Sus scrofa: one gene and its partners. The protein of the gene in region 1 purifies or fractionates together with the protein of each later gene. This does not show direct contact. Links are inferred from orthologs where the notes say so. Each region holds a gene or a part of one and is shown on either strand. Other genes may lie near its edges.

The links.
Region 2: the proteins of MAVS (region 1) and EIF2AK2 purify together in Homo sapiens (affinity purification with western blotting; 3 studies listed by BioGRID and IntAct, with this or other methods). This does not show direct contact. The link is inferred for Sus scrofa from reciprocal best matches to the Homo sapiens genes MAVS and EIF2AK2.
Region 3: the proteins of MAVS (region 1) and IFIH1 purify together in Homo sapiens (affinity purification with western blotting; 12 studies listed by BioGRID and IntAct, with this or other methods). This does not show direct contact. The link is inferred for Sus scrofa from reciprocal best matches to the Homo sapiens genes MAVS and IFIH1.
Region 4: the proteins of MAVS (region 1) and NLRX1 purify together in Homo sapiens (affinity purification with western blotting; 4 studies listed by BioGRID and IntAct, with this or other methods). This does not show direct contact. The link is inferred for Sus scrofa from reciprocal best matches to the Homo sapiens genes MAVS and NLRX1.
Region 5: the proteins of MAVS (region 1) and TRIM25 purify together in Homo sapiens (affinity purification with western blotting; 3 studies listed by BioGRID and IntAct, with this or other methods). This does not show direct contact. The link is inferred for Sus scrofa from reciprocal best matches to the Homo sapiens genes MAVS and TRIM25.

Annotation. Positions count from the first base shown.
Region 1 is NC_010459.5:31,852,271-31,855,787, reverse strand, and holds part of MAVS (mitochondrial antiviral-signaling protein), read left to right. Parts: coding exon 1-212; 3' UTR 213-3,517.
Region 2 is NC_010445.4:103,075,525-103,079,041, forward strand, and holds part of EIF2AK2 (interferon-induced, double-stranded RNA-activated protein kinase), read left to right. Parts: intron 1-3,064; coding exon 3,065-3,193; intron 3,194-3,517.
Region 3 is NC_010457.5:68,943,632-68,947,148, reverse strand, and holds part of IFIH1 (interferon-induced helicase C domain-containing protein 1), read left to right. Parts: coding exon 1-38; intron 39-1,151; coding exon 1,152-1,369; intron 1,370-2,717; coding exon 2,718-2,834; intron 2,835-3,517.
Region 4 is NC_010451.4:46,387,367-46,390,883, forward strand, and holds part of NLRX1 (NLR family member X1), read left to right. Parts: intron 1-654; coding exon 655-724; intron 725-1,160; coding exon 1,161-1,249; intron 1,250-1,773; coding exon 1,774-2,393; intron 2,394-3,074; coding exon 3,075-3,517.
Region 5 is NC_010454.4:33,209,630-33,213,902, reverse strand, and holds the start of TRIM25 (E3 ubiquitin/ISG15 ligase TRIM25), read left to right. Parts: upstream 1-1,462; 5' UTR 1,463-1,563; coding exon 1,564-2,166; intron 2,167-4,273.

The DNA of each region.
Region 1 (3,517 bases):
CTATTAGGATCCAGGGGGACCCCAGCACCCCACCTGTAGGGGACAGCCCGGGGCCACTCACTGCCTCGGAGTTCCAGGCAGAGGAGGAGTTGGAAGAGGGGTTGGAAGAGGTCAAGACTGAGGCTAGGGCTCCGTGGGTTGGGGTGGCGGTGGTTGGGGTGCTTCTGGCCACACTCCTGGCCATGCTGTACCGGCGGCGCCTGCCCCAGTGAGGCTCCTGGGCCCTGTCCACCACGTATCTGTTCCCTTCTCCAAGATACATCTGCCTGAGCCACAGAGCCAAGTTATCCCAGCATCCCTGACCCTTTTGTGGAGCTGGCAGAGGCTGGGTCAGAGGGGAGGCAGGGGGCCCCAGGCTTAGTCCTAGCAGGGAGCATTTCGGTCCCATTGTCCTCTGTGGCTCCCCCACCATCCTTGGCTTTTGGGGACCCGTGCTGCCCTGGGTGCTCCAGACCATCTGGCCATCTGGGTTGTTACCTTTGTCCTCTGGAGGAGGTGCCTCTGTCCCAAGTCCAAGGATCAGGAGGTGCAGCTGGAGACCGCAGGGCGTCAACAACATCCGCTGTCCTGCCCTGATCCCTGGCAGCCCACAGCAGATGGGTGGGGCAGGGGGCCCCACAGGACTTTGCTCCAGCCCCCAGGGGCCCCAGGAACAGCATGGTGGCCCATCTCTAAGGACCTAGTCCCCTGCCTCCCCTGGCACACAAGGATGGGAGGAGGTCCGGAGAGTCCCATGGACCCCTGGGAAGCCTGACCAGCTGCTGGGCCTGAGAACCACCTAAAGAGCCCCTCTCCAGCCCCCGTATCCTGGTCTCTCTTCACCTCCCTATGGGGGCTGGGGAGGGAACACCTGCAGGGCAGAGCTCAGGCCAAGGTGCAGATTTCGGCTCCACCCCTTCCTGGGCTGTGTGGCCTTGGCAGCTCATCAGACTTCTCTGGTCTTGCTCACCCATGTGGACGGTGAGTGTCATGCCTTATCCTTCACTGCCTTCTCCTGAGATTGAAGCCTACATGTCTTTGTCAAGTGCCTGGCTCAGAGCAGGTGGCTGCTAAATGCTTTTCCCCATCTCTCCCTGCCCGGCCTGGTGGAGATGAGGGGTGAGAGGCAGGGAGCCAGGTGGGTAAGGGGGTACCACTGTGCTGTAGGGTGGCCTAGGTCTGCATCCCGCTCTCACTAATTCTGTGCTCTTGGGCAAGATATTAACCTCTCTGTGCCTTAGTTTTCTCACCTGTAAAAAGAGGATGAGTAGTGGAATTTTATATATATAGATACACACGTCCTAGTGTCATAAGGATTAAATGAGTTTATCTATTTAAATCTTAGAATGGTTCCTGGCATTTCATTGACTAAGGGTTGGGTACATGTTTGTCACTATTCAATGTGGAGGGACTGGAGCACTTGGCTACACCGTTAGAAGCAGAGCCAGGCCATACGCCTATGTCCCTTTTATATTTGCCCCTTCCTTTGTCCCGGGCACTGGGGAATTACTGGGGAGGGAGGTCTATCCACTGGGGCAATTCTGCAGGGTGGGGGCTGGGGTGCTCCCCAGCAACCAGATGGATTGGGGGGTACCCTAGTGGGTTCTTTTCAGGCAGCCATTGCTGGACAAGGGGCAGGGACAGGGGCCTCGGGAGCTCCCTTCATTTCTGGGCTCTGCAAGCAGGACCAGAGCCCTGAGGAGACATAAGGGGTGGGCGTCCCTGGGACCCGCCCCCAAGCTGTCAGTCTGCAGGGTCCTGCACCCTGCTTGGGCTGCTACAGCCTTTCTTTGCACTGCCCTAGGGGACCTCAGCAGCCTAATGACCTTGGCTTCTACCTCTAGATTTCTCTTCAACCCTCTCCAAATGGAACAACCTGCACCCTGAAGCTAGGAGTGGTCCCTACCCACGCTGTCTGCAACCACTCCCTATCACCCTTGCTCTTAACCACCCCTCTGTGCTCCTTCTTCACTCCCAGGTATCCAAGTCAGGGAACAATTCATGCACAGGTACTGGTTTTAAAGTGCTACCCTCTCAAGGTGGCTTGGGAACAAAGTATCTCGACAGCAGTGTGTAGACCTAAGGGATGCTACATAAATGGTAGGATTTCAGAATTCCCATCATGGCTCAGAGGAAATGAATCCGACTAGGAACCATGAGGTTGCAGGCTTGATCCCTGGCCTCGCTCAGTGGGCTAAGGATCCAGCATTGCTGTGAGCTGTGGTGTAGTTCACAGATTCAGCTCGGATCTGGCGTTGCTGAGGCTGTGGCGTAGACTGGCAGCTGTAGCTCCAATTAGACCCCTAGCCTGGGAACCTCCATATGGGGGCAGCTCTAAAAAGCAAAAAAAGAAAAAAGGTAGGATTTCAAGTACGGTGACCAGCCAAGGGGGAGATACTTTTTGGATAAGGTGTGTAGAAAGCAGTCAGGGATGTACCTGGTCCTTTGCAAATTATGCTCCCCAGAAGCCCTGACTTGGCCTGCATCGAACAGCACCCCTATTTTGGCTGTTGTTGATCTGAAGGCCTCTAAAATGCCAACTTGAAGCAGGCTTGGGAATTGGCCAGTATATGGAGGCCTGTGGCCAGAAGAGGGCTTGGGGGAGTTGATGGGATGTGTCATATCTCAGGAGTCCTGGGTTTCAGCAGCAAGAGGGTGCGTGTGGGAGGGTTCCTCATCCCCATGGCCTGAGTGATGTGGAGGGAGGGAGGACCAAAGAGGGCCTTTACCCCAAGAGGTGAGCACAGCCACCTCTACCTAGAGGCTTGGAGAAGCACCCTTTACCTTTCAGTAAAGGCTGTGGGGCCAGAGGGGCCAATGGCATCCTAAACACTTACAGCAGCCTCACCTGTAGCCCAGTATACATCCGTATTTAAAAAAAAAAACAAAACACCCTCTCCATCTTTTCTCTCTCCTGTTGAAACATTTCCTGCAAAGCCCAAGAGCCACCAATGCTTCTCTTTTGCTGGGAAATAGCTGTCACCTTTGCTTGATGACCCACTGCAGCCAGACTCACATCACATCCTCACCTTGTTTTCCTGGTTGGATGTACTCAGATTTAACTGACTTAGGGGAATTTCTGGTCAAATATCAGCAAGATGCCCTTTCCTCTTTCAGGCTTTGGGTTGGGTTATTCATAGCTTCTTTTGTTTGTTTATCGGCCACGCCTGTGGCATTGTGGAAGTTCCTGGGTCAGGAATCAAACCTGGGCGATGGCAGCAACCCAAGCCAATGCTGGATCTTTAACCCACTGCACCAGAGGAGAACTCCCGTAGCTTCTAAGCATTTTTTTTTTTTTTTATGAAAAACTTTTAAGCTCACACGGTAGAATAGATAGAATAATACTCCCCACTCCATATGCCCATCATCCAGCATCAGTAATTGTGGACACATGGCTAGTCTTTTTGTTTGTTTGTTTTGTTTTTTGTCTTTTTGGGGCCACACCCACAGCATATGGAGGTGCCCAGGCTAGGGGTCGAATCAAAGCTGTAGCTGCTGGCCAAAGCCTCAGCCACAGCAATGCGTGATCCGAGCCACA
Region 2 (3,517 bases), on another chromosome or scaffold:
AGTGACGGGGGCTTTGGGAACATGGTTCTCCAAGTTTTCAGTCTTTACTCTTGAGGCGGTCACAGCTTTTTAGGTCCAAAGTCTAGAATTTTCTTGGCATTTGGTTAGACATCTGTGCCTCACAATTGGAAATTCATAGTAATCTAAACTTTGGCACACAGAGCTTACCTTCATATTCTCTTTTTCTTCTGGCCTCCTAACTTCTTTCATGGTCTCGATGAACAGTTTCCCATTTCCTCCTCAAAATGAAAGAAGGGAGACAGAAGAGGCTTTCAGTCTCTCCTCCATACACTGTTCCCTCTGATTTGCCTACGGACATCACAAACTGGCCATGCTGAAACCCATCACCAACCTTTGCTCATGTTCTTGCATGGGACACTTTTCTGCTTGTCCCCTTTGGTCCCAATTCCTTTATGAGCCTTTCCTGATCACTCTGGATTAGATAGACGTGCCTTGTCTATATGGACCTTGGCTGTCAATTTACCCCACCTGTCTAAAAAAGCCAGAAATGAGAAACGAAGCAAACAATTTCCTGGAAAAAAAATTCTATGTATATAGTTGGGCCTAGGTAGGGAAAAATGACCCTTAAGTGGTATTGCTTCCCTGGCCTGCTGAGAGGCTGGATGTCTGATCCCTTCATGTTGGAGTTCACCTGGTTCCAAGATCTCTCTTTAACAGTATCTAAAGGTGTTCTTTAAAGTTGGAATGCTGTAAGGACTGCGTTCTAAAGGATACATTTAGAATGACTATACTTTCACTGTGAAACAAATCAAATATAGAGTTAAATAAGAAATGAAGCACAATTATCTATTTATACAATTATTTGCAAATAAATTATCTATTTACACAGTCATTTCCTCTACTATTTACACCGAGGTTTGGGTATCACCTCCCAGGCCCTCCTCAGGATGAGTTAGTGAAATCCTGATTGGTGCTGATGGGATTCTTGCTTCTGCTATCTGGTCTGCCAGTTCCCTCCTGTATCTTGCAATGCCTGTACCTGTGCCTTTGCATAGAATGTTCACTCTATTTCTGCGGATTCTCAAAGGTTAAACTTTAATACTACTGAGCCTTCTTTTTCATCTTCTTCAGCTTTTCTAGCTTCACTGCTACAGTTACTGCTTTCTGATATCTGAGAGAAGATGCATACAAAGACATGCACCTTATTTTGTGATGCTTTGCAAAATACCTGCTGCTGGTGGCTTTGCCAGGGAACAGTCTTTACCCAATGCCCCTATTCTATAAAGTCAACCAAATTTTACCACCTTCTGTCAGAATCTTGAGAACTAGACTAAAGATACTGGTGAGGGATATAGAGCCTTCTAGGGGTGAGGGCTTACAGCCTAATTGGCCCAGGTTCCTAAGACAGCCTCAACCTGATCATCAACCTTTATTCCTGTGCCTCCTGTATAAAGTTTATAACTTTTTTTATCCTTTACCACCCAACATTTTGCCTAGTCATATCATCACTGAATAGACTAAAAGTGGCATTGATTTTCTTTTTCTTTTTAGTAAGATATCAACAAGTAGCCTAATATTCTTATTAGACTGGCCCACCCAGCTTATATATTTAGACAGTATCCTAAATGCAACCTCCTGTTTCTCAGAGTCAGGTTATAGACTTGCGTGGGACCAGTAGTTGTACTTGCAAACCCAGACATTCCTACTTTGTAACTTGTAGGAAGGCAGAGGCACATTTTTCTCTCCATACTCCCACACATCAGCAGCTTTCCAACTGTGTTATCGGTGGTGGGTTCCAATCTAACAGTGGCTCGTTCTAATCTGACTGCTGATTTCTCCATGAGCCTTTTCAGACTGGTTCTCGGAAGCTCCTCTTTCAGCCTTCTTGGGCTTATGGTCTCGTCTCTTTCACTTTCTTTATGAGGCCCTCTAGTAAGTGTTGTCTCCTAGAGTCTGGTGTGTATGTATAGGCCAGTATTGTATTGAAAGTAGCCTTTTCAAGAATGACACAATATTAGTTTCCTCATCAACAACCTTCATGTTTTCATAGTTTTTGGAATATTGGTCAATACTTTCTAAAAGTTGTGTATGGAGTTCCCGTCGTGGCTCAGCAGAAACGAATCTGACTAGGAACCTTGAGGTTTGCGGGTTCCATCCCTGGCCTTGCTCAGTGGGTCAAGGACCCGGCGTTGCCGTGGGCTGTGGTGTAGGTCGCAGACATGGCTTGGATCCTGAATTGCTGTGGTTGTGGCGTAGGCTGGCAGCTACAGCTCCGATTAGACCCCTAGCCTGGCAACCTCCATATGCTGCGGATGTGGCCCTAAAAAGCAAATAAATAAAGAAATAAATAAAAGTTATGTAATGGGAAGAACATTCCTCATTTTGTTCTTCCTTTTCTTTCTATTCTCCCCCCCTTTTTTTCCTTCAATCTGCTTAAAGAACCACATAGAAAAAAATGTGTCCATTTAACTTGGTATCCCTTCAAGGATAGAGGGGATATGTTTGTGAAGAGGTTATCAGGAACTTGGAGAAATGGACATAAAGGAGGCCTCCCCAGGAAATTCTGCACATGATATTCTGCAGAATTATTGGGAATAAACTCATTCTGAGAATCTCAAAACTGGAAGCAATCTTAAGGGCATCTACTTCAACCCCCATCAAATCCTGGACTCATATTTGCAACATTTCCACCAAGTGAGTGTCCAGCCCTGTCTTAAATACTTCCTGGGATGTGGAACTCTCTAAATTCCATTTTTTAAACCACATAATTAGTAGATCAGGATATATTAAAGCAAATTTTGTGATTATTTCCACCATCCAGTCCTGGATCCATCCCCTGGGACCATGCAGAGTGAATCCGCCTTCCACTTACCTTCAGATATTTAAGGCAGCCATGCCCAAAGCCTCTGCTGTCAGCCAAAGAGTCCTTACTTCCTCAGTGGCATTTTAAAGACTGATGATATTAAATTTCCTGTTTTGGGCTGCCTGTGTAAGGTGAATGCCTTATAAGTAAATATAAAAACTTAATATACTAAATATGATTTGGATGTTGATGACAGTCTGTCAAATTGGTACTTATAAATATAATTTTTTTTTTCTGTAGCCAGGTAACATATTTTTAGTAGATACAAACCAAATAAAGATTGGAGACTTTGGACTTGTAACATCCCTGAAAAATGATGAAAAGCGGACAAGTCGAAAGGGAACTTTGCGATACATGAGCCCAGAACAGGTGAGATTGCCTTCCCTTCTGTTTATGTTTTTTACCTCTTTCATTTTTTTAACTATAAAAATGATAGACATCTCTCATAAAATTAAAACAGTACAGAAGTAAATAGAATAAAAGTGGAAAAATTCACCTTACCCTTCCTTTCTATTCCTACTCTTCTCACTAGAATTTGTGATTTATCCTTTTAAATCATTATCCTTGAGTTATTACAGTTATGTAGATACAGGAATTCTCTTGTGGTGTAGCAGGTTAAGGATCTGGTGTCATCCCTGCAACAGCTTGAGTCGATGCTATGGTGAGGGTTTGATCTCTGGCCCGTGACCTTCC
Region 3 (3,517 bases), on another chromosome or scaffold:
CTCAGAAGAAGGAGAAGACCCTGGTGTACAGCTGTCAGGTTGGTTAAAATGTTTATTTTTGGAAAGATAATTAGTAGTAATATTAATGGTAGTAAAAGAAGCTGTATTTCTTAGTTTTTAAAATGTTGATTTAAAAATTAATTATGATTTAGATTGTCTTCCATTTTTTTTTCAATAAAACCCTTCTTCCTTGTGAAAGCAAATAAAAAACTGGAGACGTTTTTAGTCAGATCACTTTATTCTGCATAAGAACATCACTTTTTTCCATCTTTTTGTCTTTTCTAGGGCTGCACCCATGGCATAGGTTGTTCCCAGGCTAGGGGTCCAATCAGAGCTATAGCCTCACCAGCCTACACCAGGGCCACAGCAACATGGGATCTGAGCCAACGTCTGCGACCTACACCACAGCTACCGGCAACGCCAGGTCCTTAACCCACTGAGCGAGGCCAGGGATCAAACCCAAAACCTCATGGTTACTAGTCGGGTTCGTTAACCACTGAGCCACAACGGGAACTCCAGAACATCATTATTAAATCAAACATTTTCTAGACTTTGCATTAATTCTGTATTTCTAAGTTCTTTTTATATGTTAGTGGATCCTGTTAGATATGCCTTCTTCTCCAGAGAGTAAATATAATCTTTTCTGTTTTGTGGGGGATGGGAAGAAAAGTTAGGCAAGAGGAAGAGAAAGAAGTATATATACTCATAATAATTAAATGCAAAGTTTAAACAAAGTAAAATGATTCCTCTTTAAATAGTGTTTTTCATTTGATAGAATGAAAATAAAATTCACCAACTTAAAATTATATATTTTATTAAAAAACAAAATTGCATTTCTGAGAGTTTTGGGGGAAAAGCCAGAGTTTGAAATCCATGCCATAACACTTTTTAGATCTATAAATTTTCCAAAACTCATCTATTAAATGAGCATAATAGTTAACAGAGATAATTTCCTGATTACTGTACATGAACTTATGTATTTACAGGTGGCTAGGATAGTTGCATTTGCCCTTAAAAAGTAAAAACTGCTTGTGTCAGTATTCTGCCCAAGAAAATACATCTCCAAGGCAGCTCAGTCTACCAGCTAAAAGAGCCTTTTTTAACTGTATTTTGTCAGTATGGGCAAATAAACCATTTAAATTTTTTTTAAGACTTTTCTCTCATCATCATTGACGAATGCCATCACACCAACAAAGAAGCAGTCTATAATAACATCATGAGGCGTTATTTGAAACAGAAATTGAAAAACAATAAACTCAAGAAAGAAGAGAAACCAGTGATTCCCTTACCTCAGATATTGGGACTAACAGCCTCACCAGGTGTTGGGGGAGCCAAAAAGCAAGCCAAAGCTGAAGAACATATTTTAAAAGTAAGTCATTAACTTTCTTCATAACCAGAAAAACCAAAGTTAGAGCAAATGCCAATACTTCTTGGGTAAGATTAGGTCCAGATGCCATGGAGTGCAGGAAAGAAGCTATTCCATGATCATCAGTTGAGCGAAATCTATATGCTTTAGTTAATGTAAATACACTCAGTCTTCTACAAAATAGAAATATGCCTTAGTAAATAACTATGACATGGAATAATAGCCCCCAAATTATAGAGAGCAAACGTAAGTATTAAAAAATTGGGACAAATGAAATACCTTCCTTTAAATATCTACTCCTATTTTTAAACTTAATGATCTACTTTATATAGAAATATGCATAAGCTAAGAAAGTTTCTAATTTCATACATACTCCATGAGTTTTAGAATTGCATATTTTCTTCTGAGCCTTTTTTTGTTCTGTGTGATTCTCAGATTCTAGGTAATTCAAATTAAATGGGAAAATGGAGATATGAGAATCTTTAAATTTGTTTTGTTTTGTTTTGTTTTTTTCTTTTTTGGCTGCCCTGTGGCCTATGGAATTTCTGGACCAGGGATCAGATCTGAGCCACAGCTGTGACCTACACCACAGCTGTAGCAATGCAGGATCTTTAACCCACAGGCCAGGGATTGAACTTGCATCCTGGCACTTCAGTGACATCAACAGTACTGTTGTACCACAATAGGAACTCCAAAAGTCTATATCTTGTCAGCTGCCTGCAGATGGTAACAATATATACAGTGCTTTTGTTGATCTCAAGCACTGAAAGAATTCAGAGTAATTCACAAAGTATGTTAGCGCTAAAGCCCTTACTTTAAGTTGAAGTCAGTGAAAATCATATAGAGTAGACAAAAGCACAATTATTGGTTAGAACATATAATTTATTACTAGTATTAAGGATTAACTGCAATTCAAATTCAGGCACATGGGCTTCAGCTGCTCCTAGCTTTGTAGTATCCTCTTTTATGTGTGGAAGAAAGTGATAATATGATCCATGGATATCAAGATGACCTTTAAAATGCATCATGTAATATGGTTATCTCATAACCATTCTTGCTGATCTCTGCAATTTGCTGTATTCTCTCCACATCGTTTTTTTCAGCTGGAAAGTGAAATTTAAGGAATGTAAATAAATATATTTCTTTCTGGAATTTTCTGCCAACCCAATTTCAAAGCATCTTTTTACTCTATCAGGGTAGATTTTGTTGGCTAATCAGATCCACAGTAAGGCAATATTAAAATGCTATATTTAGCAAATTGTGCTACCTATTTCTTACATGAGAAAGATTTCTGCATTGAGTTAATTGAAAGGGAAAAGTATTTGAATATCAAAACCTGTCTCTTTTCCAGATATGTGCCAATCTTGATGCATTTACCATTAAAACTGTGAAAAAAAATATTAATCAACTTAAAGACCAAATAAAGGAGCCATGCAAAAAGTTTGTAATCGCAGATGACACCAGAGAAGTATGTGCTTAAGATTTTATATTTATTTACTTGATGACATCATACCTAACTGCAAAGGTCATTTTACAGTGAGCATCCAAAGAATATTATTTTAAAATTTTAGCAAAGAGTTACAGTTTTATTAAATTTTATTGATATTAGGCAGCAAGGCACTGCTGTGAATTCACTGTTCAAATCTTTTAGTTTTCTGAACTAGATGAAGAGTAGCTCAATAACTGGTTGATGGTTGATATATATGAACTGTGGGGTGGGAAGGATTGTGAAGCTAGAGGGGTTAACATAGTTTCTCTTATTCTTTTTACTTTCTTGGTGAATTCCAGTATTTGTTTCTTGACATTGAACAGAGCCATTTTTTGCTACCAGATTACAGTTGGTGGTGATAATGAGAATCCTACCTAATTGGCATATTTACCTTCTTAAGAAAATACTTATGGTAAAGAAGTGAAATATTTACTTTAATGGTGTTTTTGGAATAAGTATCTTCACTGATTATAAAAACCAACTTAGAGTCAGTTTGGACATTATGACTAGTACATTATGTCAATACATTCTTTTGCAAAATATAAAAAGTAGGATAAATTTTAGCTTTACTTACTTGATAATAAATTTAAGCTCTGTGTACTTGAGGTTCTGAAAATCTACCTCATAAGAATGTTGGATATGAAATATGCACAATAGATAAC
Region 4 (3,517 bases), on another chromosome or scaffold:
CTCGATGGTCTTTGAGGGTCCCTGTAACTGTATAAGTCCAGGAACACTTGCCTGATTTCATTTTACATTCGACAAATATTTACTGAGTGCCTGCTATGTGCCAGACCCCATGCTAAGTTCTAAGTAAATAATTGTGAACCCAGACAGATGCGATGCCTGCTCTCATGGAGGAATAAGGGGTATGTATGAATGAATGTTAATAAAATAATTGCGTAATGAAATATAAAAATTGCATAATAACTACTACAAAGGGGCAATACATGATGCTATGAGAGCAAATAATGAGGGATTTTTTTTTTTTTTTTTTTTTTTTTTTTTTGCTTTTTAGGGCCACACCCGCAGCATATGGAAGTTTCCAAGCTAGTGGTCAAATTGGAGCTGTAGCTGCTGGCCTACACCACAGCCACAGCAATGTGGGATCCAAGCCGTGTCTGCGACCTACACCACAGCTCACGGCAACGCTGGATCCTTAACCCACCGAGCGAAGCCAAGGATTGAACCAGGAACCTCATGGATGTTAGTCGGGCTCGTTTCTTCTGAGCCACAATGGGAACTCCTAATGAGGGATTTGATGTAGATGTGGGGTCTATGTGTTGTTGAGCTAATATGGGTGAGTTCTGGATGCTATTTCTTCCTTCTTTTTTCTCTCCATAGATGAACGTATCCCTTTCCTGATCCACTGGAGTTGGCCCCTTAGAGGGCAGCGACCCCTTGGGCCCCCTAGGTGAGGCCACGGTGTCATACCTTGGAGCACATCTGGGCACAGCAGGGTAGCTGGGAGGGGTTAGGACTTGAGGAGAACTTGACCGCCTGGGGAGAGGTTGGCCTTCTGGGGATGGAGAGGGTACAGTGTCAGTTACCAGGCCTGAGAGGAAGTTGGGTTACATCATCCGCTGTACAAGTCACAGTGGCCAGCCTGAGTTTCAGGCAGGCAGCCAGCAGTGGGGGGGGGGGGGGGGCTAGAGGGCTGGGGTGAGACCTCCGTCTCTCGGAAGGGTGTGAGAATCAGAGAGGCTCTGGGCCTGAGTGTCCAGGGTCAGGCCTGGATCTCAGGAGGCCAGAAGTCCATCATTCCAGGCATTCTTGAGTTGGGCTCTGAGCCTGTGTGGAGCCCGAGCCCAATAGCCAAGCTCCAGCTCACCTCTTCCCCTTGCTCACAGGGCCTTTATACGCCACCACGGAAGCTCAGCGGACAGTGATCCCCCACCAGGGAGGCACAGGCTGTTGTTCCAGGGCGCTGCTGCAACTGGTAAAGGGACCGGCTTCTCAATCACCCTGAGAAGGGCTGCAGGGATCTCACTGTGGGGATGGGGCGGGGGAGAAGGGCTTGGAGAGAGAAGCAGGCAGGAAGGAGGAGGATAGAGGATCCACCGTCATCATGATCATCTGTCAGTGGACCCACCCTCCCTCGCCCCATCATCCGTCTGTCCGCATATCCCTTCCCACAACACAAGGCTCGCTTCTGATGTGCAGAGCCCTGGGAGGGATCTATCACCCCACCTCCACTGCCTCTAACTGTCAGAAGATGGTACCCAGATAATCACGCAGCCAGTCAGCCCAGGCTCACCACCACTCTTCTCATGGCTCCTCATTTTCTGCCGCAGGGGTCCAAACCTCCGGACAGTCTGAGGGAGTCCTGCGTGTCCAGCACCATTCTGGGCCCCAGCCCTTCCTGGTGCTGGGCCTTGACTCCGCCACCTCACCCTATCAGCTCCCTGAGCGCCTGCATTTCCGGGCCTCTCCCTGATGCATCCCCCTTGCCTTCCCATCCAGAAGCCATCCAGCAGCACCGCCGGAACCTGGCTGAGTGGTTCAGCCGGCTGCCCAGGGAAGAGCGCCAGTTCGGCCCGACCTTTGCACTAGACACAGTCCACGTGGACCCTGTGATCCGAGAGAGCACCCCCGATGAGCTGCTCCGCCCTACGGCTGAGTTGGCCCTGGAGCATCATCCACCCTCTGCCGGGCTCCCCCCACTGGCCCTGTCTCAGCTCTTTGACCCAGATGCCTGCGGGCGCCGGGTGCAGACCGTGGTGCTCTACGGAACAGTGGGCACTGGCAAGAGCACGCTGGTGCGCAAGATGGTTCTGGATTGGTGTTATGGGCGGCTGCCAGCCTTTGAGCTGCTCATCCCCTTCTCCTGCGAGGACCTGTCATCTCTGGGCCCTGCACCAGCCTCCTTGTGCCAACTGGTGGCCCAGCGCTACACGCCCCTGAAGGAGATTCTGCCTCTGATGGCCTCTGCAGGCTCCCGCCTCCTCTTTGTGCTCCATGGCCTAGAGCATCTCAACCTCAATTTCCAGTTGGCGGACACAGGGCTTTGCAGTGACCTTGAGGAGCCAAAGGCACCAGCTGCCATCATTGTCAATCTGCTGCGCAAATACATGTTGCCGGAGGTGAGTGCCCCTTGCTCTGCCTCCATTGTCCCCACCTTGTTCCCTAAGGATTTTTGTGACCTGGAGCTGTATCTTTAATGGGTAAGGAGTGTAGGCTCTGGGTTAGTTCAAATCCTGCCCCTCCACTTCCCAGGTGTAGCACCGAGCAAGTCAGGAACTTCCTCAAGCTTCTGTTTTCTTCTCTCCTTAAGTTGTAGGGATCAAATGAGACACTGCACATGAAGTGCTTAGTGTTGCTTAGTGTGGTGCCCTGGACCATAGTAGGTGCTCAATAAGTGTGAGCTGGAATTACTATGTCATCATCATCTTCATCCTTGAACACTCAGTCTTCAGGGCCTCCTGGCAAGGGAGGCAATTAGAACACCAGGGTCTCTCTCCTTTTTTTTTTTTTTTTTTTTTTTTTTTTTTTTTTTTGGTCTTTTTTAGGGCTGCACCTGAGGCATATGGAAATTCCCAGGCGAGGAGTCGAATTGGAGCTGTAGCTGCCAGCCTGGACTACAGCCACAGCAACTCAGGATCTGAGCCACACCTGTGACCTACACCACAGCTCACAGCAACGCCAGAGCCTTAATCTGCTGGGATCGAACCCACATCCTCATGGATACTAGTCGGGTTTGTTGCTGCTGAGCCGCAACGGGAACTCCCAGGGTCTCTCTTAACCTTCAACTCTGCTCTTCCCAGGCCAGTATTCTGGTGACCACCCGGCCCTCTGCCATTGGCCGCATCCCCAGCAAGTATGTGGGCCGCTATGGCGAGATCTGTGGCTTCTCTGATACCAACCTACAGAAGCTCTACTTCCAGCTCCGCCTCAACCAGCCAGACTGCGAGCACGGAGCTGGGGGAGCGGGTGTCTCGGCCACGCTGGCTCAGCATGACAACCTGGTGGAGATGCTCTCCCGGAACCTGGAGGGGCACCACCAGATCGCTGCCGCCTGCTTCCTGCCCTCCTACTGCTGGCTTGTCTGTGCCACCTTGCACTTCCTGCATGCCCCCACGCCTGCCGGCCAGACCCTCACAAGCATCTACACCAGCTTCCTGCGTCTAAACTTCAGTGGGGAGATGCTGGACAGCACTGACCCCTCCAAGTTGTCCCTGATGGCCTATGCAGCCCGAACCATGGGCAA
Region 5 (4,273 bases), on another chromosome or scaffold:
TATCATATCGGAGATATTAACATCCTGTCAGTCTCAACCTATTTCAAAAGACAAACATCTTAGGTCGTAGAGCTGGCTCAAATAGAATTGTGTTAGAAATCAGTAACAGTAAGATACCCAGGAAAGTGTTAAATATTTGGAAATGAAGCCATCTCCTTATAAGTAATTACAAATAAATAACAAAGGAAATTAGAAAATATTTTGAGTGGGAGTTCCCGTCGTGGCACAGTGGTTAACAAACCCGACTAGGAACCATGAGGTTGAGGGTTCGATCCCTGGCTTTGCTCAGTGGGTTAAGGATCCAGCCTTGCCGTGAGCTGTGGTGTAGGTTGCAGACGCGTCTCGGATCCCGCGTTGCTGTGGCTCTGGCGGAGGCAGAGGCTACGGCTCCGATTCGACCCCTAGCCTGGGTGGGAATCTCCACATGCCTCGGGAGCAGCCCTAGAAAAGGCAAAAAAAAAAAAAAAAAAAAAAAAAAAAATATTTTGAGTGAAATGATAATGAAAACACATATATCAAAACTTGTGGATGGAGTTCCTGGGTGGTGCAGCAGGGTAAAGATCTGGCGTTGTCAGAGCTGTGGTGCAGATTCAGTCCCTGGCGCTGTAACTTCTGCAGGCCAAGGGAGATTGACAATCTAGATTTATAGTTGTAAACATTTATATTAGAAAAGAAAAAAGTTTAACAGCAGCGATCCAATGTGCCAACTTAACGAATTTGAAAAAGAGCAAATTAAACCAAAAGTAAATAGAAGGAAATAAGAGACATGAGAAGAAATCAATGAAAAAAAGAGCAGAGAAGCCAAAAGTTGGATTTTTGGAAAAAATTAATAAAATCCATAAAATCTATTAGATGGCTTAAGAAAAGAAGGGAAACCCAGATTACTTAGATCAGGAATGAGAGAGCGGTGATTACTACAGATTCTACTGACATTACCCCCGGGTGTGACCCTGCCTGCAGAGATTGAAGGCCGATATGCCAGAGCCCAGGACCAGGGAAGAGGAAGGATGGGGTTTTTTTAAATAAGAAAAGGCAGCGAATACTTTACTGTTCCCACAGTTATTTTTGAAAGACCTGTCTTGATGAGACAGCCTTGCTCGCGGGGGCGGTGGGACAACTTGGGTCTGGACGAGTTTTCGGAAGGAACGGATCAGATCCAGGCGCGTTTGTGCTGTAGTCAGTCCCCTGACTGCTGGGATCCCGGGTTCTCCACGCAACGTGTCAGTTTTCTCATCCGCAGAGGGGCCGTAAGATCCCCCCTGGTGGTCCAGAGTCTCGTCTGAAACCCTGAGCCCAGCGCCCCGTACCCACACTCCGCGGGAGCCACCGGGATTCGAACGTCGCCAGTCGGACCTCAGCGACCCCTGGACCCCGCCCGCCCCGGGACCCCATGGGGCCCGTTCCACCTCCGCGCTCAACCCCACCCTACCCCACGTGACTTCCTGAAAGGCCGGGGGACCGCCCCTCCTGCAGCTCAGTTTCGTTTCCTTGGAGGCATCGGGGCGATAGCGCAGCAGTCGCGGCAGTTCCCGCGCGTCACGTCGGGTCCCCTCACGGAGCGCCATGGCGGAACTGTGCCCCCTGGCCGAGGAGCTGTCATGCTCCATCTGCCTGGAGCCCTTCAAGGTGCCGGTCACCACGCCGTGCGGCCACAACTTCTGCGGGTTGTGCCTGGATGAGACGTGGGCCGTCCAGGGCCCGCCGTACCTGTGCCCGCAGTGTCGCACGGGCTACGAGACGCGGCCGCAGCTGCGCAAGAACACCGTTTTGTGCGCGGTGGTGGAGCAGTTCCTGCAGGCCGAGCAAGCCCGGCCCGCGGTCCTCGACAGCGATGGCTGGACGCCGCCCGCCCGCGCCGCCGCCTCCAGCCCGGCCGGCCAAGTGGCCTGTGACCACTGCCTACAGGCGACCGCCGTCAAGACTTGTCTCGTGTGCATGGCCTCCTTCTGCCAGGAACACCTGAGGCCGCACCTCGACAGCCCCGCCTTCCGGGACCACCCGCTGCAGCCGCCAGTCCGAGACCTGATGCGCCGCAAGTGCCCCCAGCACAACCGGCTTCGAGACTTCTTCTGCCCTGAGCACAGCGAGTGCATCTGCCACGTCTGCCTGGTGGAGCACAAGACCTGCTCGCCTGCACCCCTGAGCCAGGCCAGCACCGACCTGGAGGTAGGAGTGGTGGCCCAGGGCACAGAGGGGCAGCCTGGGGCTACTGGGTTGTGCAGAGGGCACCACAGTGGGCTACCTTGGATCACCCCGGGGCGAGGGAGGGGCCTTGCTGGGCCTGAGATGGGGCAGGGGCTTGGGGGTTTCAGGGTAGAAAGGGGCTGGGAGAAGGTACAAACTTCCTCTCATTCCGGGTTCACCTCCCCTATGCCCACCCCACTCACCCATTTTACAAAGGGAACCACTGAAGACTCATGCTTGCCTTAAGCCTAGCACTTGTCTGATGATGTTTAGAAGAGGGTTTTGAAGGTCAGATATAGTGCTGGAGGTTACCTCTGTTCTCTCAATAAATCCTGATAGCACCTGGGAGGTGGGTACCATGAGTTCCATTTTACAGCTGAGGAAGTGGAGGTTCAGAGAAGGTCATTTAGCCTGAGCTAACCCAAGTGGCCAAGGGGGAATTGAGCTGCCATCTGGGCTGCCTCCACAGTTGCCTTTTCTCCCCATGGACCAGCCTCAAAACCAAGTCCGCAACATTCAGAGTGTGAGACACTTCTGGAGGTTTGTTGGGGGTCATGTGCGAAAAAGCCTTTGGTGAGCCAGAGACTTCTAGTGACCAGGGAGGATCGTGTTGAGTGGAAGGGTGGGCAGCGTCCCAGGAATTCTTGGATATGATGCACAGGGAGAGCCAGACTCTTGCGCCATAGAGCCCTCTCTCCTGCCTGGCCACTTTTCAGTCCGGGATTGGTCTTCATTCCTAAAGCGAGGAGGTGGGGCCAGGTGGATTCTTAAGAGGGCTTTTGGATCTGTGATGCTTTCAGTGGTTTTGGGATCATAATTTCTCCCTGTGGACTCAAGGCAGAGGCTGAAAAGGTGTAGGCAAAGTTTTGTTATCTAAGCTCAAAAGTGAGGCCTGATTTCCTTTCTCTCATGAGGACTTGTTAAGGGGAGCAAGAAGGGCTGTCCTTATGCTGGCAAAGGAGATATAAGCCCTGTGGCACCAGGACCTGGGTGCAGGCCTTGCTCCCAACTGGCCACAGCCCACCCCTGGCCTGGTCTGCTTCTCCAGTCTGCCCTGGGTTCCTGTGGACTTTCTCCCTGAGTCCCAGGAACCAGGCCTCAGGCAGTGCCTGGCCGGTGACTTTGGAGGTACAGTCATCTCAGGTCTGGCCCACCCAGGTCTCCACCTGCTGCAGGGAAGACCCTGGCTGGTCTTTGGAGCCTGGAGCCCTGCTCTGCCCTGCTAGCGGTGGTTCAGGGCAAGTCCCTGTCGTTCTCTGAGCCTCAGTTTCTTCATCTGTAAAATGGGATTCCTAGCATTCCCTCCCCTGTTTTGGGTCGTCTTGAGCTGTGTGGGAAGTGCTTTGTAGGCAGGCCCTACGGGTCAGGCTGCTTAACATGGGCTGTGACCAGAGCTGGATGTTGAGACCTGGGTTTGGATTCTGGCTCTGCTTCCTAGCTGGGAACTCATAAAAGGGGCCAATAGCAATACCTATCTCAGAAGGCTACCGGGAGGATTGAATGAGGCGACCCATAAGCTGCGTTTTACAGTGAATGCTTTGTAGAGCTGCCGTTATCGTTTAAGCTGCTCAGAAATGCCCGGAAGAGAGTTTGCTGTGTGGACGGTGTCAGGCTGCCTGGATCCTCTTTGCCTCAGGGTGTGTGAGCCTGAGTTCTAGGGCAACCCGGCTCCTGTGGAGTGGCCTTCTAGGAAGTTCCGGTCATGGCTTAGCAGTAACGAATCCAGCTAGTATCCATGAGGACATGGGTTCGATCCCTGGCCTTACTCAGTGGGTTAAAGATCTGGCGTTGCCATGAGCTGTGGGGTAGGTCGCAGATGTGGCTCGGATCTGGCATTGCTGTGGCTGTGGTGCAGGCCAGCAGCTACAGCTCCAATTAGACCCCCAGCCTGAGAACTTCCGTATGCTCCTGGTGTGGCCCTAAAAAAAAAAAAAGAAGAGCCCTTCTAGAAGTTTTTGTCTAGGAGGCAGAAGGCAAGTAGGGGCAGAAAGGCCCTTCTCAGCCTGGTGTGGAGCCTCAGCTTCCTCAGCCTGCAGGGTCTGGAGCTGGAGTCTGTCACTGGATTATTTGTGTGCCCTACACGCTTGGC